Linked DNA regions of Arabidopsis thaliana. The protein of the gene in region 1 interacts with the protein of each later gene in a pairwise test. Each region holds a gene or a part of one and is shown in the gene's direction. Other genes may lie near its edges.

What was found.
Region 2: the proteins of ABCI21 (region 1) and PP2-B14 interact in a two-hybrid assay, tested with the Arabidopsis thaliana proteins (one large-scale study listed by BioGRID).

The regions. Positions count from the first base shown.
Region 1 is NC_003076.8:17,752,392-17,758,945, reverse strand, and holds ABCI21 (P-loop containing nucleoside triphosphate hydrolases superfamily protein), read left to right. Parts: upstream 1-3,177; 5' UTR 3,178-3,273; coding exon 3,274-3,424; exon of another isoform or gene 3,425-3,602; intron 3,603-3,701; coding exon 3,702-3,862; intron 3,863-3,946; coding exon 3,947-3,998; intron 3,999-4,077; coding exon 4,078-4,214; intron 4,215-4,298; coding exon 4,299-4,385; intron 4,386-4,463; coding exon 4,464-4,724; 3' UTR 4,725-4,987; downstream 4,988-6,554. Other genes in the region: CRA1 (RmlC-like cupins superfamily protein), read left to right, coding at 700-1,000, 1,124-1,389, 1,520-1,966, 2,082-2,486.
Region 2 is NC_003070.9:21,059,783-21,064,650, reverse strand, and holds PP2-B14 (phloem protein 2-B14), read left to right. Parts: upstream 1-1,603; 5' UTR 1,604-1,806; coding exon 1,807-2,058; intron 2,059-2,152; coding exon 2,153-2,271; intron 2,272-2,427; coding exon 2,428-2,905; 3' UTR 2,906-3,129; downstream 3,130-4,868. Other genes in the region: MDO1 (telomere-capping, CST complex subunit), read left to right, coding at 1-4. UniProt on the Arabidopsis thaliana protein: Component of SCF(VBF) E3 ubiquitin ligase complexes, which mediate the ubiquitination and subsequent proteasomal degradation of target proteins such as VIP1 and Agrobacterium virE2, after their implication in T-DNA translocation to the host nucleus (can functionally replace Agrobacterium VirF).

The DNA.
Region 1 (6,554 bases):
AAATTAAAAACTGTGGGAGATCAGATGATGAACAACATGCAACCGTACACTCGTCTCACAGCATGTTCGTCGCGTCCGCCACATCTCTCACGTGTGTCTCAGCTGTTTCCTGTCGCCACGTCTTTTCACTCGATCGTCTTTTTATAGTTTACCATTATCTAATAATGCGTATAAACTTTTTATCATTTGCACGTATCAATAATTGATCATCAAAGACTTTCGTAATCGTAACATAAAACATTTTCTCAATTCGTATGTGACAGTTTTATATATATATATATATATATATTACGATAATAAAATAAAATAAACAATATGACCTATTACAAATACAAAAACAGAGAAATGAAACCGCTGTATATAATAAAATAAAGATTTGTCCTATTACAAATACAATGTGCCTATCTCAAAAGCTGATGTGTAAGAAACATGCACTTGAATAAGCCATGCAAATTGAAATGTGTCAACTCCATTTATTTTTTACAGAGTGAAGCCAAAATTCATTTTCGGATGAAGTCATAAATAGCAATTTAAGTGAAGTGTAAATTGTACATAGTCGACTCTATATACCTGGTTCTTATCTCATTCAATTTATCCTCAACAACTTTAATAGAAAAATATCAAATAAATTCCCTATAAATAGCTTCACATAATGCAAGTGAGAAACCACAAAAAGTAAGAAATATAAGAAATAACAAAATGGCTCGAGTCTCTTCTCTTCTTTCTTTCTGCTTAACACTTTTGATCCTTTTCCATGGCTACGCGGCTCAACAGGGTCAGCAGGGTCAGCAGTTTCCGAACGAGTGCCAGCTCGACCAGCTCAATGCGCTCGAGCCGTCACACGTACTGAAGAGCGAGGCTGGTCGCATCGAGGTGTGGGACCACCACGCTCCTCAGCTCCGTTGCTCAGGTGTCTCCTTTGCACGTTACATCATCGAGTCTAAGGGTCTCTACTTGCCCTCTTTCTTTAACACCGCGAAGCTCTCTTTCGTGGCTAAGGGTACGTACGACTCTTTCTATATCGAAATTCGAATTCATGACTTTATGGTTCATGCTCTTTAGGATTAGTCCATAATCTTTCAACTTTAATTAAACCTATATAATTTATGTGTTACATTCTTAGGACGAGGTCTTATGGGAAAAGTGATCCCTGGATGCGCCGAAACATTCCAAGACTCATCAGAGTTCCAACCACGCTTCGAAGGTCAAGGTCAAAGCCAGAGGTTCCGTGACATGCACCAGAAAGTGGAGCACATTAGGAGCGGTGATACCATTGCCACAACACCCGGTGTAGCACAGTGGTTCTACAACGACGGACAGGAACCACTTGTCATCGTCAGCGTCTTCGATCTAGCCAGTCACCAGAACCAGCTTGACCGCAACCCAAGGGTATATATATATATATATATATATATATATATATATATATAACAAAACCTCATTACAAAAGAATCATTATATTAATTACAAATTAACAAAAATAATATGGTTTATTCTTTTTGGTATTTTATGAATGAAGCCATTTTACTTAGCCGGAAACAACCCACAAGGTCAAGTATGGCTACAAGGACGAGAGCAACAGCCACAGAAGAACATTTTCAATGGATTTGGACCCGAGGTTATTGCTCAAGCTTTGAAGATCGATCTTCAGACAGCACAGCAACTTCAGAACCAAGATGACAACCGTGGAAACATTGTCCGAGTCCAAGGACCGTTCGGTGTCATTAGGCCGCCTTTGAGGGGCCAGAGACCTCAGGAGGAGGAAGAAGAAGAAGGACGACATGGACGACACGGTAATGGCTTAGAGGAGACCATCTGCAGCGCCAGGTGCACCGATAACCTCGATGACCCGTCTCGTGCTGACGTGTACAAGCCACAGCTCGGTTACATCAGCACTCTCAACAGTTACGATCTCCCCATCCTTCGCTTCATCCGTCTCTCAGCCCTCCGTGGATCTATCCGTCAAGTAAGTAAACATAAATATTATGTTACTATAACCTAGTAAAATATGCATGCCTGATGCATGTTAATATGTCCATTTCTATATTTAAACATGACTCTTGAAACGTGTGTGGGTGTAGAACGCAATGGTGCTTCCACAGTGGAACGCAAACGCGAACGCTATTCTTTACGTGACAGACGGGGAAGCCCAAATCCAGATCGTAAACGACAATGGTAACAGAGTGTTTGACGGACAAGTCTCTCAAGGACAGCTCATAGCCGTACCACAAGGTTTCTCGGTGGTGAAACGCGCAACAAGCAACCGATTCCAGTGGGTTGAGTTCAAAACAAACGCTAACGCGCAAATCAACACTCTGGCGGGACGAACCTCAGTCTTGAGAGGTTTACCACTTGAAGTCATAACCAATGGGTTCCAAATCTCACCCGAAGAAGCAAGGAGGGTCAAGTTCAACACGCTCGAGACCACTTTGACTCACAGCAGTGGCCCAGCTAGCTACGGAAGGCCAAGGGTGGCTGCAGCTTAAGAGCTTAAAACTGCAGCTTAACAATGAACCTCGAGTACTGTAAAAGGAAGTTAAACAGTACGTAGTAATAATAATAATGTACGAAAATGTGACTAGTTTTGTTGAGGTTTACCTGTAAAATGCAACTCCTTTTCTGAATAAAATCTTTTCAATTTTCGATCAAGTTAATACAAATCTAGGTCTAAATTAGGTTCTTAATCATAGAGACTAGTTCTGATTTTTATGATTTAATACATTTGAATCATCATATTATTTTATATAATAATCCAATATTAACATTAGACAAGTCGCCAAAATATTGTCATGCTTAACAAATTTATATTACCTCATTTTCTTTATCTATTTATAATACATCAAATGCTTTAATTTTAATTTCAAATATCTAATTTAATCCGTGCATAATTTTTTCAATAAAATAACAGTGTTTTTATCTAATTAATAAATAAATAATTTGTGGGACCTTGTAAACATATTTACCATATATTATTATTTAAATTAATAATTAGATTTATTAATGAAAACTGACGTAACGCCGTCGTTTTAATTCTTTGTCGGTGAGCAACATAGAGTGACGTGGCAGCTATCTGCTGGTTAAACGTATTAGCGGAAGACTAAAGTATGTAAATCTAATGGACAGAAAAGTACATAACGTGGCCGAAATCTAATGGCTAATAAGGTCTTTGTTTAAAACGGAACGTATTTAAAGGCCAACAGATTAAGCAGAGGAGTTATACTTTACTACTTACTAATCTCTCCCTCTCTCTATCTGACTCTTTGATCGGAAAAAATGGCGGAGAAAAATGCGAGCGCGGTGGACGGTGCAATTAGGGTTAGTGGAATGCAGTTTTCTTACGATGTTCAAGATCCTATTTTCTTCGATTTTAATCTCGATCTTCCCGCTGGATCTCGTTGCCTCTTGGTTGGTGCCAATGGATCTGGTAAAAATTATTCGAATCATTTCGATTTTGTGTGTGTTTCTGTTTCTGTGAATCTGAAGTAGATCGATTTGGGACCTTGACGAATATAGAATGTATTATGTGATTTCGTGTGATTCTGTTTTGGTAGTGTTGGAATTCGGTTTAATTCGTCGAATTCGACTATATGTATAGAGTTTGAGTAAGTAAGATCGATTTTTCGACTATATGTATCATGTTAATACTCGAATTTGATTGATTCTGCTGAGAAGGTGATTGTCGTTGCGCGTTTCATTGACAGGGAAAACTACGTTATTGAAGATTCTTGCTGGAAAACATATGGTTGGAGGAAAGAATGTTGTACAAGTGCTTGATCGCTCAGCATTTCATGATACAGAGCTTGTTTGTAGTGGTGATTTGTCTTACCTAGGAGGATCATGGAGTAAAACTGCTGGTTCTGCTGTGAGTACTGAGATCTCAAAGTTAATACACTGCAAGAGTTTTGATGTGAGAACGTTTTGTTTCTAATTCTTTAAAATTCTTTAGGGTGATATTCCACTCCAAGGAGACTTCTCAGCAGAACATATGATATTTGGAGGTGAGATTCTCTGATCCTAGTATGAGTTTTTAGTGAATTGTTTCGTTGTGCTTATACTCTGAATATGTTTTGTGTTTAGTTGAAGGGATTGATCCTTTCAGAAGAGAGAAGTTGATTGATCTTCTTGATATCAATCTTCAATGGCGTATGCATAAGGTTTCTGATGGGCAGAGACGTCGAGTGCAAATATGTATGGGTCTATTACATCCGTTCAAGGTAGTATAAACAACAATCAACTCTTCATTGTGGTCTCTGTTTTTTCTTTGATCATATCTGATACTTAAATTGTAATGATCACAGGTATTACTACTGGATGAAGTTACTGTTGACCTCGACGTTGTTGCTAGGATGGATTTGTTGGAGTTCTTTAAAGAAGAATGTGAACAGGTAAGCCATTCACTAACCCCCCCTCATCTTATGTTTAGAAATATCAAATGCTGATTTTCATGTTTTATATTTGAGTAGAGAGGAGCTACAATTGTATATGCAACTCATATTTTCGACGGGCTCGAGACATGGGCTAGTCATTTGGCTTACATTAATGGAGGAGAGCTGAAACTCTCGGCCAAGTTAGATGAGATCAAGGATCTCAAAACCTCACCAAATCTGCTATCTGTTGTTGAAGCTTGGCTCCGGTCTGAAACCAAAGTTGAGAAAAAGACGAAGAAGAAACCTGTTGTTACCTCTCCATTTATGTCGTCTAGACAAATGGCATATTACCGATGAATCTTAACTTGTTTATGAGATCAGTAAGAATAAGAGCACTGCTTCTACAGATGCCTTTGTTTTCTATGGTACTTCATTGTTTAGAATCCGATAACTTTTATCACACATGAAAGAATTTCTGTAAAACCACGTTTTTAATTAAATTACTATTTTGCCAATATTTAAGAGCTTATATTCAAAATAGGCATTTTAAATAAAGTTATTTCAAAATAGGTATTTTAGACAGTTGAATGTAACAGTATCGATTTATTGCTTCAATTGGGACAATTTTGTCCTTGTCTTCTTTTCTCTTCTTCTTCATCGAACATAGTTGCAGAATCTGATCAAATCGATTTCTTCTTAATTTTTCAAGCAAACTTAATTTTTTTTTTTAATTACACAATATTAAACCTTAAGATAGTATATAGGGAACCCAATCAAAAAATTTTATAGATTTTATGGAATTTCAGTTCTGATTTTGTGTATATATGCATGTATATACATGTGTATTTGTGTAATTATGCCACTGAACAACAACCCATAAATTATAATTGAATTCTAAATCAACGCAAAGGCATCTCGATTCCTCTTTAAACTTCACTTAATTGGCTTTTTGTTTGAGAAATCATAAAATTTGGAATCAGACATCGCCATGGAATATCAAAATTGTTTTTGATACCGACATTTCTCTATTCATCATCTTCATCGGCCAGATATTCCATTTTGATCAGTTTCTGAATTCCAATTTCAACGCTGCATTAACTTAATAAACTATTATAACCAAACGTTGAGGATTCAACGATTGAAACCGTTCACATGTCTCGTCCTTTGCGAGTGAGTAAATAGAACGTGTGGAGAAGATGACACTAGTGAATGAGGGAGAAAGATGACTTTTCACGTAGTGATAGTACCTGTTTTTGAATGCTGGGTCAAAAGTGCCTAAAAGCAAATATATTTATAAAACAAATGCCTTATTTGAAATTAACTCAATATTTAACTGTTTATGTCCAAATTTTGGTTTGGAGCGGATCCTTCTTAACACTCGCATGGCAAAATATCCGATCGAATCGAACCCAACCTAAACCCGAAGTTAAACCGAAATACCTACTCATAGTAGAGAAATCTAAATAAATACTAAATCTTAACGTTTTACTTTTATTTTTAATAAACTATATAAAAATAGAAAAGCATGTACATGTTTTGCCTTTTGCGTTTATAGTTTTTCTTTTTCAACACAAAAATTGCTGTAACACAATAAAAAATATTAAAATACTAGTGTAAAAACAATTTTTGCAAAATTTAACAACTGTTAGAGCATGTCACGCTTAACCTCTAAATATCAAAAACCAAAAAACCACCATATTAACTTTTGTTCCCCTCTTCACACACCTTTTTTTGTTTGTTTCCTACACAAAACCTTAATCTGGATATTTTTGTTAATTTATCCGACTGTAAAAATAATTAAAACCTAACTTATCAATAAATAAAAAAAAATCTTTTCTAAAGGAAACCCAAAACAAAAAAAACACAAAGGCACGACAAAAAAATGTCACAAATCTCCATTTCTTCTCGTCTCTCTTCGTATTAACCAATTTACCCAATATTTCGTGCCCAATTCTCGGGTCAAATCCATCTAAAAGTTTGTGCTTTTCGTATTGGGATTAGTTCGATTTCTAAATCTGATTTAGGGTTTTAATCAATTTGGCAATCGGGTCTCTTGCGATGAAGTTTTCGGAGATTTATTGATTTCATGGTGGGTTTTTGTTTTCGAAGGTCGTTGATGAAGAATTGACTTCTGGAATCTCAATCTCTGAAGGGTTTTTCGATGTTAAATCCGTGAATCTGAGTTTT
Region 2 (4,868 bases), on another chromosome or scaffold:
GTGAGGCTAATTATCAGTTGCTATCCAAGTAACATAACCCACCCACATTTTCATATTTTGTTCCTTTATTACCTTGTCTTTCACTTGTAGATGAATCTTAGGATGGTGGATATGTTTTGGTCTGCTTTTTCATATGAGCAATTTTCTGAAACGAATTTGTTTGAAATTGGCTAACCTGAAGGAGTTCGGTTTGGTAAATCGGTTAAACCGGTTGGCTTTCCACGGTAAATAAGCTCAAGTAGTTCCGTTTTTTTTTATTTATAAAATTGCAAATACATACTTGAATATAGAGAAATCTTCTACTCTTTTCTCTTAAGTCAAGAAGACATTGTTTCGTATATATTTGTTGTATATTTAATTCATTATTGTACCATATATTTTTTGTACAAATGTTATAACAATCGAAACTACCGAATGATTTCTTACCACTAGATTCAGAACTAAATAATGAACTCCTAATATTAGTTTACTATGGTCCATGAGTTTTGGCGGCTATAGTAGAGATGTTGGAAAAGTCAACTAGTGGTTTTAAAGGTAAAGTCAATTAATATTGTAACAATGTTAATGATTAGCGACTTCTAGTCAATAAATAATTCTTAAAGAAAGAAACAGGATCTTTCAATGTCAAAGGACTCGATGTTTGGTGTCGAACCTAATCAACATCCAAAATTTGACCCAAATTTAGGCATTCAAAAATAAATAACACAAGTCACCAACCCTTTTGCCTCTTGGCCACTAAATGACTTTTTAGCTAAATAATACCAACCTTTTTGCCTCTTGGCCAATAGGACTCAATGTACTTGTTGTTGTTTCGCTTGTTCAGAGTTTTCCTTGCTCTTATAGTTTCTTCATTGCACATTTATAAAGAAAATTGCAGCAAATACCAGCGCCTAAGCAATTTTGAAAGCTTTACTCTCAAAGTTATATATCTAATGTGGTGATCTTTTTTACTGATTAAAGTATCACCACTCCATCCTCATACCATCCATTCAAGTCTTTAAAATTACTACACAAAATATACAAATTAAATCATAGTGGTCCTAGACTCCTAGTGGATGAGAATCAATATTCGTCGTATATCTAACGGTACATCGTCCTCAAAGGCTTAAGCATTAATTTAAAACAATTTGTTTGCTTTTGAACTGATTAAAAATTAAACGGAGATTCGAAATACTGAACCGAAAAAAAGATATTGCTTTCAAAGACAGACTTTTAAACCGAAAAAACAAAAATTAGTCACACTACTCATAAGTCTCTATACGTTTTCTGTATGTAAAAATAATAATCTATAAACGTGTTCTTATTTTCAAAGAATCTTTAAACATTTAATTAAACGAAAAATTTACCAAATTATCAACTTACAAATATTTTAGCAAAAAACAATATGTACGTTGATAATCTTGTTAATTTTTCGTTTAATAAATCGTTTAGAGACTTTTTGAAATATGAGTGAAGGACAACACTATTTGCTCTTCCGCGTTAACTTTCTCTTTTGGAAGGCCAATCTTTTACTTTTGGCCAACGACCAAACACTTTTACTTCGAAGCTAGCTATAAATAATATATAAATCCATAATATTTGACCATTGGTCTAAAATGGTCAACAGAAATATGCCCAAGCATCACTATATATTCTCACCATCTCTATCTCCAAGCATACTTCATCTATCATAGCTACAAAAAATCAAAGCATCATATTTACTCACAAAACGAAATTCTTCAAATTCTAAGAACTCAGTACCTTTCTGTTTCATAATACTAACAATTAAAGATATATTAAGTTTTTACTCGGCAAAAGAAGAAGAAGATGATGATGTTACCAGAAGCATGCATAGCCAACATCCTTGCCTTCACATCTCCGGCGGATGCATTCTCGTCGTCAGAGGTCTCTTCGGTTTTCCGGTTAGCCGGAGACTCTGATTTCGTATGGGAAAAGTTTCTACCATCGGATTACAAAAGCCTCATCTCTCAATCTACTGATCATCATTGGAATATTTCTTCCAAAAAAGAAATTTATCGATGTTTATGTGACTCTCTTCTCATCGATAATGCTCGAAAGGTTCGATTTCTATGAGTTAAATTTGAACAAAAAAATGGATATCTTTCTTATTTACTTGAACTAATAATATCTTCCGTGTATGATGCAATTTCAGCTGTTCAAGATCAATAAATTTTCCGGAAAAATTTCCTACGTTTTATCAGCAAGAGATATTTCCATAACACATAGTGACCATGCATCTTACTGGTCTTGGAGCAATGTCTCAGATTCTAGGTCAGTTGTTTTTCTTTCTTTTCTTAAAACATCTAAATATGCTTTGTGTACATTTACTGAAAATGTTTACAATTTTTAATTATTACCATGATTAACAATAGATATATATATATATATATATATATATATATATATATATATTTCTAAAAATTTCAGATTCTCGGAGTCAGCTGAACTTATAATAACCGATCGTTTAGAAATCGAGGGTAAAATCCAAACCAGAGTTTTATCAGCAAACACAAGATACGGAGCATATCTCATAGTGAAAGTAACAAAAGGCGCCTACGGACTTGACCTAGTTCCGGCAGAGACTTCGATTAAATCTAAAAACGGTCAAATTAGTAAGAGTGCAACTTATCTATGTTGCTTGGATGAGAAAAAACAACAAATGAAGCGGCTATTTTACGGGAACCGAGAAGAGCGAATGGCGATGACTGTGGAAGCGGTTGGCGGGGACGGGAAAAGGAGAGAGCCGAAATGTAGAGATGACGGATGGATGGAGATTGAGTTAGGAGAGTTTGAGACACGAGAAGGAGAAGATGATGAAGTCAATATGACTCTTACAGAGGTGAAAGGATATCAACTAAAAGGTGGCATTTTGATTGATGGTATTGAAGTGAGGCCTAAAACATAATCAAGATGACTACGGAAGCTATGGATTGTTAAATGAAATTGAGAGGAACTCAGGGGTTGTGTGAATGTGTTTTACTAAATTGGTTGCATTTGTTCATTTATTATCGTGTACGTTGAAAAGAGTAGAAGTTTTAGTTTTCAAGTTTCAATTATTTGGCTCGTTGAAAATAATGTACAATCTTAGTGGGTGTCACGAAACTGATTAACAATTTAAATTTTTTATTATTAACGTAATCTTCGGTTACATAATAATACAAGTTGGAGTTATATTTACGTAGAGAATTATGTAGTTATATATTAGATGCTCATGCCATTTGCCATTATTTGTCTGTTAGAGAAGATATGTCAGAGAAAAAGTGTGTTCATAATGTAAGTGAATACCCTCAAATTATTCCAAATTACAAGTTATGAAGGACATGTTCCAAATTTCTTAGTAAATCACCTGAAATAGTTTAGTGGTTTCTACATGTGGAGGAGTCAGCATCTAGGTATGAGTAAGGGATTGATTCTCCTCAACCGCGAAGTTTACTAAATCTCTCATTTGGCTAGTCGAAATGGTATTATACCTTAAACCCATTAGAAAATCAGGTTAGTGAACTACTCGACGGCTACATTTATCAAGTGGTTTAGTAGGATAGTAAAAGCCCAAATCAGCACTTAATTACTAAAAAAAAAAAAATAGATCATACATAACTTCTATATATATAAAAATTTCCTTGTTTTCTAAATCTATAATTTTTAAATAATTATTTTTGCTTTTATTGATTTATATTTTTCAATAAAACGTAAGGGATATTATAATGTTGTTTCATTTCTTTAATAGATAGCTAAAAATACATAAATTTGAGTGAAACTTTTTCTATAATATATGATAGAATTAATTAAAAAAAAAGTAATGTGTGAAAAATCTACAACAATTCTTTATGGAATAAATAGAGTATGCTATTTTACACGTGTGGGTTCATGAGAAAGTCAAGTAAATGATTAAGTGTTGCTTAGGATAAAATACAGTTACAAAAGTTGTGTACGGTCAAGGAGTCAAACTTCCAAAAGGAGGGGCTAGTTTATCCAATACGCGCCCACCGGTTGCTAATTCGTGGTCAAATGTCAATAGCATATGATTTGTCAACACTAGTTCAATTAACTGTAACCAAGAATATCTTCACTTTTTGGAAATAACCAAGAATACTATAGTATGTTAAATAGGGTATGGTGAAGCCAATATATGTATCTGGATTTCCGTCCAACAAGAAAGAAAATTCAATACTGTGAACTCAAATGTTACTAATATATATATTTATTATATATAGTTTCATTTCATAGGAGTTCGGCTCGAGCAAATCACACTATCTTCCATAGTAGAATTGATGATATGGATTTATCGATCTAAACGATATAAATAATATAATATTATAAATATATATGTGTATATATATATATTATATTGCATAATTAATATATTTTTGTTTATATTTGGAGTAAAATTATTGTGTGTGGTTCATCTTCATCTATCTTTTTCCGGTTTTTTAAATCTTAATATCTTCATATGAATCTTCTTGAAGTTTTTTAGTTCAATATAATTATATATTTGTAATAGTGATGGTTGATGATAGGGATTCTTTTTTTTTGGTAAGTTGATGATAGGGATTCTTAAAATATTCAATTCCACACCCTTAATTAGCCTTGCATTGTCTTTTGTATAAAATTTATCGAATGCGATTGAATGAGACTTTGGATATTAGAAATATATATATATATATATATATATATATATATATATATTTATTTCTTTAATTTTTATTTGAACCAATGGGAACAAAATTTATTAGCATGATGTAGAAAGTACTTCCATTTAGCTTTCAATCCAGCCAAACTTGAATCATCTTAGGAGGTTATCTGTCATTTTCACTCCAAGTAGTGTGATAAGGAAAAAAATTAATGATATAGAAATATCAAAAATTTGT